Linked DNA regions of Drosophila melanogaster. The protein of the gene in region 2 purifies or fractionates together with the protein of the main gene of each other region. This does not show direct contact. Each region holds a gene or a part of one and is shown on either strand. Other genes may lie near its edges.

Region 1 (7,788 bases), on a different chromosome or scaffold from region 2:
GGAGGGGGAGGGAGGGGGCTAACATGATGTCATTCGTTTTATTTATTTTTTTTTTGTTGGGGGGACAACTAGGGTGGAAATGCATAGGCACTCCGTTTTGTGCCCAAATTTTATGCGTGTCCCAGGCCAAAAATTTCCAGGGGGTTGCTATTCGAACCCATACGCAATGCAGCTTGACCCATTTAAGCCCATATTTGCTTGACTCCAAGTTACCAATAGAGTTATTATTTGATAACATTGCTTAGATTCGTAGTGCTTTGGATTAAGTAGGTACCTCACCACCACTTTGCATTTAATATTTTATCTATATAATCAATTATCTAAGCATCCCCAATATAACCCTAGAAGTATTTATCCTACAAATTATTAATAATTGTAATCTTTTTGATTTCGGTTTCTTCATAATTTCTTTGAAGTACTGGTGAAGAAAACTTGATCATACCCAAAAAAAATAAAACAATGTCTATAGTAAATTTTGGCTATCATTTCTTTTGCTCCTACGAACGACATAAAAAACATGTGAGTTTGTGGCAATGGTTCCGTAATTTTTCAGGTCCAATAATTCCCTATTTTCCATGCTTCAGCTTTTCCCCCAAAAGAACGGAAGCTACAAATCAATGCCCTTATTTTTGATTTAATAAAGAACCTAGGAAAGCTGAACAAATTAAGTGAAACATAATCCACGCCACAAAGTTCCTCCCGCTGTCTTCGGATAATCGGAACAAGAAAGCAAATCTTTGACAGAGGTAAAGTTCAAGAACCCCATGAAAGCATCAACACGCATATGAAGATGAACGCAGACACCACTCCATGCCATAAACTGGCTCACTGGCAGTGCTATTGGACGGACTCCCTGCTACACTGATACCCTGCTACCCTGCCTCCATGCCGCCGAGGAAAAGCCCCTGCCCCAAAGTTTTCCCGGCACTGAGAACGAAAGTGAGTCGTTTCACCTACACAACACAACAAAGCTCGGGTGCCTTCACCCTCATTTGGACGAACATTTTTTTTTTTTGGCGCTGCGCAAGAAGTTCATTGAACTTGGTGGAAATTCGGAAGAAGTCCAGAGCCAACGACAAGCTACCAACGCCCTAGCCTCACACCCAGAAATCATTTCATTAGTTTCGTTGTGGGTTGATGCTTCGGCGCTGTACAAAAGTGCTTAGATTGCTACTATTCGTGTCCGACTGGAACATGGCCAAATCGACTAGTGATCCTGATCTGGAGTATGTTGGGGAACGCTTCCATTCACCTGTTTGAGCCCGCTGACCAAAAGTGGAGAAATTAAGGTATTGCATACTTTAAGGATGATACGAAAATTATTACGATTGATATCATTTTTTAATTGGCTTGAGAAGAAACAAGTTAAGTGCAAACCACTTAATACAGTAGCAGAAGATTTAAAGCCAATCAACCAGAAAAAATTGTAGTCCAAATTCTAGTACCTTCTCAAAATGTTTTATTTAACTTTACTTTACTTTGTTTGGTTCTTCGAATCTTTACACACTCATACAAAATATATGTAAATAATTACTAACAGCGTTAGCTGTCCATGTTTTTCGTTTGATCAGTATTTTGAACATATAAGTTAAAGCAAAACAAATTGAAATAATTTGTTTTTGGGATATAAATATAGTAATACGCGCCGTTGATCCTCCATGGCGGAATTCGTGCGTTGCCACATTGTGTGTTGTTGAAAAAAGCATGATGATGTACTCAAAAAAAACTACAATAATATATAGATAAATTTAAACTTAAATGCCGAAACAATCTGGTGTAAAACAACTAGTTTCGCTTCGAAAAGGTGCAACGAATTTCGGCTAACAAATAAAACGGATGAACCCCAATCTCCTGTGTGAACATCTATGCAAGTGAACTGGTATTTAAATAGCCTTATTCATATGTCATTTGATTGTTGTTTTCCGTTAGCTGCTTGTCGTGTCTACTCTTGCGCTGCAGCCGGCTGTAGCTGCGGCGCCAAGCGGTTGACGAACCCAATGCCTCCACGGATGATCTTGGCAAAGGCGGGCGGTGAGCGGGCGGCCAGCGCCTCGAAGGTTATACGCAGCTCAGCGAAAGCGTTGCGCGGATAGGGATTTCGTCGCGAGCTGTAGCGCATCACCAGATAGTGGTAGTAAATAACGGGCGTCATCAATCCAGCGTGGTTCCTAAAATTGAAAGTATTCTGCATTGGAGTGCATTCCCCTCGAAAGATATGTGTTAAAACTCACATGAAGGCCAGCACAATGGCGTAAGGCATGATGAAGATCTCGCAGAATGCAGTTGCCTTCAGGATATTCGCCGCCTGAAACTCTACAATGGAGATGATGAAACGGGCACCCCACCACGAGTTCTGGCCAATCAGCTGTAAGTACATTTCTTATTAGACAAGTGCCAAATGTGAAATATTGCTTTCCTTACATCCAGCAGCTTAAGCGAGTAGCTTGAGGCGTGCAGAACTGAGTACAGCAGCACGGGAATCAGAACCAGCAGCGATGGGCGGATGTTGAAGAAGATCAGGGAGTACATCATGTAATGACACGAGTCCTCGGCAAACAGTCGAGCAAGGAACTCCCGACTGAACGCGAACGCGGGCAATCTCTGGTGCAAACGCAAGGCAGAGATGGCGGCATTAGCCAGCATAACCTTGCTGAATGCGCTCTGTTGTGAGCTGTGGAGAAGTAAGTGAAAATTAGAGTAGGTCAATGTGGAAAACGCGTGTACTCACGTAAAGATGGGCAGCACGTAGCTGACGGTGAAGAAGATGACCAGCAGACGTAGTGCCCATAGCGCGGAATCTATGCGATTTGTCTGAAAATGCTGCAGGAGCTTGGCCGGTACGTTCTGTGATTGAGATTGCTGCGGTTGCTCCTGCTGCTGTGAGGATCTCTCGGAGCTGTTGGTCTGAGCGCCCTCGGAGCGCGGTGGTTGGTCGGTGGGTGCGCTCATGATGAAGTAGCTTTCGTGCTCGCTTTCCGTTCAGTATTCAGTCTGCAAGGCAGTTATGAAAATCAGTATAAGGTTTCTACTTTCGGCCTTATCGGCGGGAATTTGGCTGCTATCTTAGGCATAGGCAGCGATAAGAGAACCTTGGCTAAGTAACTGCGGCGCTATCTGATGTGTGAGGGTTCCAACCTAATGAATAGCCCGCAAGATCTGCCCTCTATGACTCCAGGATTAGACTGCACTACGCTTCTCAGTGCCAAGCGCTTTACGTCTTAATTGAAAGTCAGGGCCAACTGTTAAACCAGTCAAATGGAAAGTGGCTGGCAAACGCACTTAAAACGAGAACGGGCTGGCCCAAAAGTCGTGTTAATGTTCGCTTTAGCCAAGATGACTTGCCCACCATTACGGACAGTGCTTTGCATGAGGCAACCAAAAAAAGAAAACAGCCAAGCCATCGCTAAAGTATCATGTACTCTTACGGTTTGGCAATTATATTTCTCGAGTATGCGGTTTATGATGCCTAGCGCACTAAACGCAAAGATTTCGTTACGAAGCTCGAAGAGAAAACTGCAAGACAGCGCACAATGTGCATGTTGTTACGAAATACACGTCAAAATATTGAAACACAAACAGGTGGCAACAGGTGAAACATGGGAGGGGGAGTGGGCTGGTCTGAGCGATTAAGTAAACCCAACCGAGGGGGTCCATCCTACGTGTACTTTCGATTTACATGTCGAGTAATGAGACTGGCAGTGGGGCAGCCGTATCGATTGGGATCTGTGGACGGAGGGTCCTTCAACGGAAGTGGGTCACCTAGTCAATTTAAGGTAGCACCTGTCAACCCGCGCGCACATTATTCATGCAATAGTCCGGAGTCGGAAGCCCAATTATATGATGTCACATAGTGGACAGTTTGGTTGGTAGGTACACGTCAGAGATTCAGAAGGTAAGTCTCGCAAATTGAGGCTGATTGACCCGACTGAACTCCACAATGAACGGCAACGAAATCAAAGTGCAGGGCTCTTCGCGCCGCGCTGTAGAAATTCGAAACGGTTGCGCTTGGGGATTGGATGCTTCCTCCCCCGCACGGAAGTCGCGGAGCGAGTCCAAATGCCGACCTGCATAATTCACCAGTGTAATTACTGGGCCAGCAGCACACTTTTATCCGATTTGGGAACGACGTCAAGCGAAGAAAGTTAGCCTTTAATCACATGGATTTCGTTTCCGGCAAGGCACTGATTTTTCCTAATTCACGTTGGCCATTCACTTACCTCTTACTTAGCAGCAGGTACGTTCCAGCCTGCGATATGATGTGACTTCGAATTAAACGCAAGTTTTTCTCGTAAATTAATACGTATCAGTTTGGTCGGGGCTCCCGTGCGAACTAGAGATGGACGGGCAAAGTTGATCTAGTTCGATAAAAACGAACTGACACAGGGCTGCCACCGATTTGTATCGCACTGCTTTCTCGATCTTACGAAATTTAAAGACCACGTACTTGAAAGTTGCTGTTTTAGTTGTCGATTAAACGCCTAAATATTCAGTACAGTTTGAAAATGTGTTGTCAAATAAAAGTTACGATACAGGTTTCTGGAGCTAGTTGTATTAATAAAATAACTTAAAATAAATTAAAATTGGTAATCGATTTGCATACGGTTAAAGTGCATATTATTTTGAAAGTATAATTTCAATATCGCAGTTGGCCTAAGTTTCTAATAATTTACAATTTGAAAACAGCGCCAAGGCCTGGAATCCCCCCAATAAGTTCTCATTTGTATCGCTAATTTCGCACCTCTAATCTTCAAACGCACATTTTGGTTTATTTTGATTTGAATGCTCTAAGATTCATTTAGTGGCAAATAATTAATTATGGACGACGACATCTCGCTGCCCGCCGACACTTTGGCCATTTTAAACGAATTTCTGTTGGAGAGATCAAAACGCGAAGCCGAGGAGGAGAATCAAATCGCCAACAAGACCGGCAAGGATGCCCAGTTCGAGGAGGATTGGGCAAGAGCACCTGCACATACCTTAGAAACTTATGGTGAAACTCTCTTCGCTTGCAGCAATTGAGTCAGTTCTGGTACAGCACGGAAACCAAGCACGCATTGCGTGATGTTGTGCGTAAGCTTCTGGCGGAGCGCACGGAGGATTCGGGTGACTTTAGTATAGCACTGCTCTCCTGCCCATCGCTCTACAAGGACATCAGGGAGATACATGACACAGGTAAGTGGACATGTGAAACGATTATGAATGAATTGTCATCATTCTATCTTGTAGTGCACATATTCGAGTTCGACAAGCGTTTCGAGGCCTATGGCACAGATTTTGTGCACTACGACTTGAACTGCGTAGGGAGCAACCCGGACTACCTCAAAGAGCACCACCAGCAATATGACCTCATCGTGGCCGACCCGCCCTTCCTGTCCCAGGAGTGCATCGCCAAAACGTGTGAAATAATCACTAGGCTGCAACGAAACCAGAAGGAGAGCAAGGTAATCCTGTGCTCCGGTGAGGTGGTGGAGCCCTGGCTAACCGCTCGCCTGCCCGTCCTCAAGTGCAGCTTCCGCCCGGAACACGAACGCAATCTGGGCAACAAGTTTGTCAGCTACGCCAACTTCAATTTAGACGAGTATATTGAAAATAAATAAGCAATTGCGTTGAGGGATAAATGCCAGTTTGGAGTTGTAGTCTATTTCGCAGTCTGATCGGCTTCCTTGCGCTGCTGCACCAACTCGCGCAGACCGTCTTCCTGGCTCTTAAGGGACTTCTGCAAGAACTCCTTCTTCTTCTCCAGCAGTTCTATCGCTTTGTCGCATTTCTCCTGCCTAGCCTTCAGGTCCTCGCGCATATTCTGTACATCGGTAAGCAGGAACATGCGACCCACGGACTGGTAAACTCTATAGGGAAACAGTTCAATTAGCCACCTGAACACCTGGAGATGATTAATTGTGATTCTAGTTATGTACCTTGTGTCGTCGGCCAAGCTGCTGGTGCCCTTTTCTGTCAGCTGGTACTTTTGTTTGCCTGTCTTGACCATGTCGCACTTCATGTCGATCATGTGGATCTTCTTGGTCGTCTCCAGCTTATTGATCTGCATCTCGGTGAAGGCCTGCGTGCAAAAGGAATCGTCTATGACTAAGTTCTTTGGAAGAGCACGCGCTCTCCGTCGGCAGTCGGCCTTTTTGGCAACTTGCCTTCCGCTCACCTTCTTCAATTCGATGTCCATTTGTGCCATTTTGTGTGATAGCTTTTCCTTCACAGATGATTGAATGCAAATTGCTTGGCTTTGCTGCGAATTCACTGAAAATTGCAACACCTGCGGTAAGCTTATGGTTTTTTTTTTCTACTTTATTAGTGATGGCAGTTATATCTGACTCCTGCTGGCCTGAAAATATCGATGAGTACGCCCTGCACTATCGATAACCAATTTGCCGGCAAGTGTAAATTCAAACCGATTTCAAGACTTTGAATAAATATGCAAATTGAATTTTTCTTTAAAATGTGGTCACTGGTCACTACCAAGTACAAATATTAATTTTTATGTTATCGCTTATAAAATTTTTATTCAAATTTAAAAAGTACACAATCTTAAAAAAATATATACATTTGAGCTATTTTATTTTATATTTAAAGTCTCGCAGTTCCTTAATACATTTTCTTTAGGTCAATTTAAGAATAAAAGGATAGCCTAACCTTAAGTGCGTATAATCCTGACCCAAATTGTTGAATCTTCTTTTAATATATATATCTACAACCTGACAACAACATTTGACCGTTGGAGATTAACCTCAATTGCGAACCAAGAAGCCATGAAACTGCTCCCGAGTTTCCGATGCGGGCTTCTTACTTGCATCAGCTCCTCATTCACAAGACGGCATGGAGCGGTGGCAGAACAAACTGGCTGTGGTAACAGGAGCCAGCGGAGGCATAGGCGCCGCTTGTGCTCGGGCCATGATCGGCGCTGGACTACGGGTGGTGGGCCTGGCACGTCGGGAGGCCAAGTTGAAAGAGCTCAGGGAGAGTCTGCCCCGGGAGCTGCAGGCGAACTTCATACCGCGGCGCTGCGACGTCTCCAAGGAAGATCAGGTGCAGAGCTCTTTTGACTGGATCGAACGGGAGCTGGAGGGCGCCGACGTGCTGCTGAACAATGCTGGCATTACTCGCGAGACGGAACTGGTCACCCCGAGCAATACGCAGAAGCTTAAGGAGGTCATAGACACCAACGTAATGGGCGTGATTTGGTGTACCCGCGAGGCGTTCAATAACATGAAACGGCGAGGTGGCGAAGGTCACGTTCTCATCATCAACAGCATAGCCGGACATCAGGTGCTCAACTTCATCGACGTTTTGCCATCGTTCAATATATATCCGGCCACCAAGTTTGCCATCACCGCCATCACAGAGACATATCGGCAGGAATTTCAGCTGCACTCGAACAAAATCCGGGTTACTGGCATCTGTCCTGGTGCGGTGAACACGAACATCTTCCCGGAAGAGATCCATTTTTACGTCAAAGACATGGCCAGACTCGAACCAGCGAACATTGCGGACGCAGTGATGTATGCTCTGCGAACTCCGCCTCATGTTCAGGTGAGCATAATCACTATTATGTATTAACTTATGACCAATTTAACTAACCACCTTCAGGTACATGAAATCACTATCAAACCCATGGGCGAAATGTTTTAAACTTCTTCCGGTTATAATAGCCATGCAGAGCAAAATATAAATTTCAAGGATTATAGTATGAAAAACACACTGTACTTAATAAAAACTCTGCGCAATATGCATGCCCCATATTAATCATAAACAAGTAGAGTAGAGCTTGAGTTATGAATT
Region 2 (7,479 bases):
TTTTATGTTTGACTGTAAAGAATTTTTGGAAAAGATAGATTTATATGTTTACCTGTATGCCTGTGTGATCGTCTACATCTATATAACTGATACTAGATTTATGTTAACTAAAAACGAAAAAAAAAACCTTATAAAAATGAAAGGAGATGAATTTTGAGGCGTGAAGCATTCAAGCAAACCATTGTTTCGAAATTTACTGCAACTGCAAAATAAAGAAAACAAAAACCAACAAAACACACATTATGAAAGAACACAAGAAAAGCAACAAAATTGTAGCCCTAAGTTTATTCGTTTTATTACTTTTTATTTCTATTCTTTTTATTTCATTATACACTTTTATCTTTTTGGTTACTTGAAACGCTAAGACTGAAATGGCTTGTTATGGAGAAGAAAACACGTCCTGCAATACATTATATAATAAAAAGAACCCAGCAATTTTCGCATCACCACATTACAGACAACAAAGTACTTTGTCCTCATCGTTCTGTGTGATCCAGATCCCCGACTATATATGATATATACACCTAGCTAGATTTAAGCGATTTGTACATACAGAAGCAAAAGCAAAACAATATACCAGAAAATTGCCTGTTAAATACATTTATATACACATATGAATTTAGTTATATCACGATGACTAGTTTTTAGTTCTTAGAGGTTATTTAGTTAGTAAGGAGCCCAACTGACGTAACGTGAATAAATCAACTATATATGTGCCCATATATAAAGCGTACTATTTAATTATTTAGTTTTTACTGGACTTATGACACAACGAGCCACTGTAATGTCTTATTCAGCTCAATGCTCATAAACAAAATAAATATTTTTGGAAAAAATACTGTAGTTCTTCTTATTTAGCCAAGACGTCCAAACCTTTTTTTAATAAATTTAATTGAGATGAAGATTTGCATTCGAATTCTATAGAAGCATCAAACAAATATTACAACAGTATCGAGTGGGTTATTAAAAATTAAATATGTAAAAATCGCTCATTGTGTTAAAATATTAATTATAATAGATTAGCTCAAACATCTTAAATCGACATTTTGTGCAACACATAAAAATTCTCGCAGACAATTGGCAGCTGATTACGATTAAACAAAACCGAAATTAGCCGTTTTCCTTTAAAGCAATCAGCATTCGTGATCTCTTGTTTGGTTACCTCACAATGCTAGTTAGTTATAGCGCCATAAAACCCCATTTTCAATGTCAGGGAAATCATAAGGTCATAAGGTTATCCCCACGATCGTTCTAATGTGATCACAGCCACAATCTATAATAACCAGTTCCCAATAGATAGACAAGATTAGAAAACGCAGCTTGGTAGAGTTTTTTATATTTTATAATTTAATTTATTCAGAGTGCTTTCTTGGGTATCGGGTCAGACAATTGAAACAGCATTAATATCATATTCGCATGTGTGGCCTGTGGGGGCAGCGGAGAGGAGATAACAAGGGGCTGGCCATCAAAGGTACAACATACGGACATACTTTCCAGCGAAAGCTAGACACACATAGGATTAAATATAGCACATAGTATAACAGAATATATATGGAATTGAATACTTTGAACTTGAGTGTAGCTTAGTTTCGTACGATAGAATGTTTGGCTTTTAAAGTTAGAAAGATGTGTTTATAAAAAAGTGTGTATAAGTGCTGTGTTAGAGAAATGCGTAAAGTGTTGTTTTGGAATGTACATGTGCAATGGCACACACGCAACATTAATGTATTCTTGCTGAGAAACAAGTATAAAGCATTTTCGCTATACTGAAACCGAAATTCGTTAGAAAGTAAAAGTATGTTGCTCCTGTGTCTGCCCACAATCGCTCCAACTAGTGAACTCTGTCCTTAAGGTAACCAATTGGACTAGCCCACTTAATGCTGCTTGGCCTTCAGGCTAGCTGGCATCTCTGGTGGTGGTGGGCGGGGAATGCCCAGGGCGACCTTCACACCATCGTAGATGAACCACTGCAGAGCGGTCAGGGTACCGATCATGATAATACGAGGAGTCAATCCGTTCCACATGCCACTGAAGCCCAGCGACTTGGCCACGCTGATGGCGCTAGCTCCCTTGGCCTGGTTCAGCTTGGACACCACCACATCAGCGGGATGCGACACCACGGCACAGAACACACCGGCGATGTAGCCAGCGGCGAAGGTCACGATCAGCTGCTCGCCCTTGGTGCAGTCGGCACGAGGCTTGGGCACCACATACCTGGGAAAAGTTGCATCATTAGTATTGATTTAACGGGGTTCGTTGGGGCTTGACAACCCGAACTGTGAACGGTATTGCTCTAGTTTTTACATTTGAACTTTCAGTGGCTACCTGCTAATTTGCACTTCAAAAGGAATGCTTTGCTTTTTTTATTTTATCCATAGTAACAAACTAGTTCTGAAATAATATGATTTTCCTATATTTGAACAAGATAAGCATTCGTCGTTGGTTTTTATTCTGGCGTGCCATTTATTAGATACGAATGGCATTCTTATCTGCTGACGCGCTAAAAGTTTATTTTATTATGAATACTTTCAGTTTTGATCAATTAGCATATCACTTTTGAAATTTCACAGATTAACAGTCTACCTTTAAACTATTGTAATAGCAAAACGCTAATACGAATACAGATATTGTGCACAGCACTGGTAAGTTTTTCCGCTGTAGAAACTAGAGGATACCTAAAGAGGAAATGTTACTTACTTGTAGAGCAGCTCCACGGTGCGCTCGAAGCAAGCGAACTTCATCATGGTGTATGGGATCTGTCGCATCCACAGGGGAACCAGACCCTTGTAGAAGGCATTGACGCCCTCCTCCTTTAGCATCTTGGGCACTGCCTCGCGGAAGTTGTTGGCGTATCCGGGAATAGTCTGGATCTTCACCTTGGCGGCCTCGAACGGCGCCAGAGCGATATCGGCGAAGAACTCGGCCGAAGCGGAAGCAGCCAGATACAAGGAGGTGCGGTACAGGTAGGCGTTCTCCTCGCCAATGATTTCGGCGTACTTCACCTTGAACAACTCGTACAGACCGAACTTGCACAGACCCTGAAAGATACAGAAACGCGGATTAGCCTGCTGTTTCTCAGAAGTTATTTTTCAGTTTGCAGTAGTATCCAAGATTTTATCTTCGGTATCTGTTTCTCCCGTAACCATAAAGTTGTCAAAGGTGTGTTGTTATTCTGAGGTATACTAAGATATCAGCCTAGGAATCAAACTTCCTAATGTTCGATTCGAATCACTTTTATCTGCTTCAAGCCCGGAACCGATGTAATTAAGGTCAGCCGACCTGGTCACGAGCATATAATTCGCCTCCAGACGATTATGCAACCCATAAAGTGAAGCCCAATCTCACCTGTGCCGAGTAGCCGAGCAGAGTGGGGAACCAGCCCTTAGCCAGTCCGCGGGCGCCCTCCTCCGCCACGGTGACCTTGAATCCGTGCACCAGATTCTTGTACTTGGCCTGGTCGACCTGCAGACGGCACTTCACCAGATCCAGTGGGACCACGAAGGTGTGGGTGGTGCCGCAGCTGAGAATGCCACCAATTCCGCACAGAGCGAAGTACTTGGTGCTGCCGAATTCGCACGAATCCTGCTGGTTGGCCACCGGGGTAGCGGCGGCGGCGATCTGGCGACCCTCAACCGGCTGGGGTTCCACCACTGGGGCGGCGGCATCGCATCTTGCCATCGACATGGGGGTGCGGAATGGCGAGTTCCGGGCAGTTTCAAAGAAGCTGGAGAACATCTTGATTCTGTTCTTGTTCTGGGGTCGGCTGAAAGTAGAGAGACCATCCATTAGTTACGTATATATGTACCTCGGAGGCGACATGTGCTTTATCTAATTATATATATAGCTGGGTAATCAGCTGCTTTTCGCTTTTGTAGGTTACATAACGGCGTGCCTCGAATTCCGAGCACCCGGACTTACGACACCAAATTTACCCGAAAAGCGAAGGATTTTAAGCAACCACGTAAATTTAGTGTATGTTAAGGGAGCGATAGAGCACCGCTCGGCTACTTTGATTTCGATTTTACAAAACTTATGCAATTTTCGCTCGGAATTTTCGCACTTACTATTCGTCAGCAACGTTAGCGGCTCGTTGGCGAGGATTCAAAGAATGAGGGGGGGCTCACGGAGGTGCAGCGATTTCTCACGAATACCAAAACGCCTTAATGGTTTTGCCGTGGAGAGGTGTAACTAGCGGATTGAGGATAGTTGGCCACACTCATGTCAAAATCTTCGGCTATGGACTGCAACCTTGGTGCAAAACTTTGGTGGCGCCTGAGCGTGGACTCGAACCATCTGCATACGAGGTATCAGGTGAGATTATTTTAATGCCATTGCCTTCGTTGTGAATAAAATATTAATTATTAATATTAATTTCATATTGATAACATTAGTTGTAAATATTTTGAAAAAATAATAAATTCATTTGTAAAATCCTCATATTTTTGCATAGTATTTGTGATTTGTTTTCTATTTTTACACAATAAAACAAATTTTAATCTAAAGCTTTATTGTATTTAGAACTCTCTGTAAAATATATAACAATTTTCAATTATATGTACATTTTAAATTTATAAGTTATAGCCCCATGGTAAAACTGGATAATTTTATGAGTAAATATGTGAAAATAAAGTTCTGCCATGATTTCACATGGGGTTGGCCCAATCCTTCACTTTTTACGCACGGACAGGAAATTAGGCCTTTGTATTCCATTTTATATTTCACTCTGCAAGTGAAGCAAAATTCACCCTGGTGATCTTCAGTTAATAAGATTTGACAACCGATTTCTGGTGACCAAACGCAGCAGACTTTGGCATTCATAGTATCTGTAAAATTAAAAAATTAGTCTTTTATTACTATTCAAATGCTTCTTATACCGATATGCAGTCCGGGTGGAACGCAAACACCCTCTTTATTGGTTGTTTTTGGGAATTCACCTTGTAGACGACCCAATCGCCTATAAAAGTTTCCTTCATAACAACTGAATCCTGTCTCTTTAATCCGACACATTTCCGTATTTTCCTTCCTACAATCTAAGCATCTCCCATTTTCTATTATAGATACGTTTTTTTCGGCACAGGTGATCAACAGTCTCCCACTGAGTATAATAAGAAAATATATACAATTAAAAGACATTTAAAATAAGAAAAATAATTCAATGAGACCGCGTTGATAAAGTTTATGTATGTATTTCCAAAGGCCACTATGTACGACTATTGTTACAAAACGAACAAAAGTGACTGATAATATACACTTGGATATTTATATTATGTAGGTTATTATTAAGTTCAAGGATTATTTAAGCCTTTCCGCCTTTTTTGTGGTTCTTACCAAAAGAACTTCAACGGACTCTTTCGCTAAGCTTTGAGTCTGTCTTTCGATTGTCTTTGTGCTTCTTTCTTTTTGTTTGCCGCCGTCTTTGCTTTTGCTTGTGCTTTTGTATTTGCTGTGTTTGCTCGCTCGTGGATTTCTGTGGAGTGAAGTTCGGTCGTCAGTTTGAGTTTGGTTCGTAGCGCGTTCGCACACGCGCGCTGTAGTAGTCCGATATATAGTTGATTCCCATTCGATCCGAGATCCGATCCGATATGATCGTTGTTGTGCCCCTCGCCGCCTCTCGCTCGCTCTAATCAGTTGGCCAACGTTTTAGGTCTGCGTACTTCGCGGCTAATTTCCAACTTAAGAAGTGAAAAACAACAAAATCTGGCAAATAATTGAGTAATTAAAGTTAAACGTAAGGAGAGCTGCTCTGCCAAGTGTTTTGTGTTAGTGCTTTTGTGTAACGGTCTGCTAACTGGAGCTGGATCTGAAATAGAGATTACGGCAAAGTGTTTTAGTAAATTGAATGTGGATAAGTTTTGAAAGCTTGAGAGTGGATGCGATAAACTGATCGATTTGGGTTTAGTCTGAGAAGAGGAAGCTTAAGTCGAAAAGTAATCAAGAGATTGGTCATGTTTTTGCAAGCGGAAAAGAAAGTTTGATTTAGGAGAATCGAAAAGTGATAACAAATGAGATATGAACTTAAGTGAAATATGGTTTAAGTAATAATAATATAATACATAATATGCATATACAAATGAATGAATATATCTTTCTAAAGAAAATACAATTAAGTTTTTAAAAATATTTCAAAATATCCTGTTAAAGTCTAGATTGAAGTAATCAATTACAATAACATTACACTTTGTATTGGATAAAATCAATAAAACATTGCAAATGTAGCTTTTTGAAATGTTTTGAATGGTATTAAAAACACCTTCGATCAACATAAAGAAAAGCTCACTGCATGTTGTAAGTGATCTCATAAGATTATCTCATTTCTATAAGCGGCAAATAACATGTAAACTCTGAACTGGTCATTTTAATTGATATTATCTTAGTAAATCTGTGTACATTAGGAAGATTCTATATTTAATAAATTAGGTTCCGAGTCTTCTAATATTTCTTAATAATTCTGACTGTTAGTGGTTCTCCTTTAAACAATTCATGGAATTTTATTGCCCATTTAAAACGAAGTGAGTCCTAAAGAAATTCAAAGAAAAACTAATCAACACCAGTTGCGACTAGTTAACCAGCAACAAAAATTGGCAACTTCCTTCAGTTGGGCGCCAAGTCATTAGCTACCCCAATCCTCCTCCTTTTTTCGCCAGTTTGGGGGCCCACTCAAAGTACCGCTATGACTAGACAGGCCTTGTCCATATATTTCTTTATTTTTTTGCTTACGAATATATATGCAGCCATTAGCCACCGCATCAACAAACGAGACGCCACAAACACACTCTGATCTTTTGAGGCGTTTTGAGGCGTTTTGACGTTTGCTTTGGGGCCCCTTCACTTTTTGTTGTGGCACTGCAAGAAATTGTTTGCTAGAAAGTCATTCCACAATGTAAAATTCGAGATAGAGACACTTCCTGTGTATGCTGAAATTTACAATTTACAACAAGACGACAAACTTTTAATACTTAAACTGTTCTAAAAATTTAAAAATGGTTTAAATTTTATTTATAATGCAATCTTAAAACCCCTATTTTATTTATTTGTTTATTGTACCTTTCTCGCTCTTACATCTTATCACTACTTTTTCTGCGTGCAGATCGTGGTTTTTTCGTGTTCGGGTGAAAAAGTTGCCGCGGCAAGTGCAATTCGCAGTTTGCCGTTCGCGATTCGCATTCCGCTGGCCGAAAGTATCTTTGGAGTTTTGCATCTTGTGGATGTCTGCCGCGGTTAACTGTAAATTGAGGCATGTGCCGCACACTCTCCCCATCTTTCTCTTTCTCTATGTCGCTAGATAGGCGCTCTCTTTCGTCTGTCAAGTTCAATGTGCGTTGACAATTTTCCGTTTCCAAATGGGCGATGTTTTCCACGTTGCTTCTTGTACTTTCACACACATTGGTTTTCCATTGTTGCTGCGCAACTGTGCGTGTACTTTAATTTATTTTAAATCGAAAGGCAATTTAAATTTAAGCATCAGTAAAAATAAAAAAT

Evidence for each region. Proteins that work in one complex are often made in the same cells at the same time.
Region 1: the proteins of Mpcp2 (region 2) and Kr-h2 purify together in Drosophila melanogaster (affinity purification with mass spectrometry, with the first as the bait; one large-scale study listed by BioGRID). This does not show direct contact.

The regions. Positions count from the first base shown.
Region 1 is NT_033779.5:6,067,617-6,075,404, reverse strand, and holds Kr-h2 (kruppel homolog 2), read right to left. Parts: upstream 4,416-7,788; 5' UTR 4,218-4,415; intron 3,193-4,217; exon of another isoform or gene 2,992-3,192; 5' UTR 2,950-2,991; coding exon 2,729-2,949; intron 2,672-2,728; coding exon 2,422-2,671; intron 2,366-2,421; coding exon 2,232-2,365; intron 2,169-2,231; coding exon 1,943-2,168; 3' UTR 1,444-1,942; downstream 1-1,443. Other genes in the region: CG9154 (uncharacterized protein), read left to right, coding at 4,816-4,956, 5,013-5,172, 5,227-5,597; Pfdn1 (prefoldin 1), read right to left, coding at 5,639-5,846, 5,916-6,058, 6,155-6,184; CG9150 (uncharacterized protein), read left to right, coding at 6,826-7,539, 7,597-7,638. UniProt on the Drosophila melanogaster protein: Member of the dosage-dependent hierarchy effective upon white gene expression.
Region 2 is NT_037436.4:14,534,288-14,541,766, reverse strand, and holds Mpcp2 (mitochondrial phosphate carrier protein 2), read right to left. Parts: upstream 4,117-7,479; 5' UTR 4,065-4,116; intron 4,042-4,064; exon of another isoform or gene 3,919-4,041; intron 3,764-3,918; 5' UTR 3,736-3,763; coding exon 3,346-3,735; intron 3,039-3,345; coding exon 2,698-3,038; intron 2,215-2,697; coding exon 1,875-2,214; 3' UTR 1,326-1,874; downstream 1-1,325. Other genes in the region: CG43246 (uncharacterized protein), read right to left, coding at 4,576-4,823, 4,875-5,133.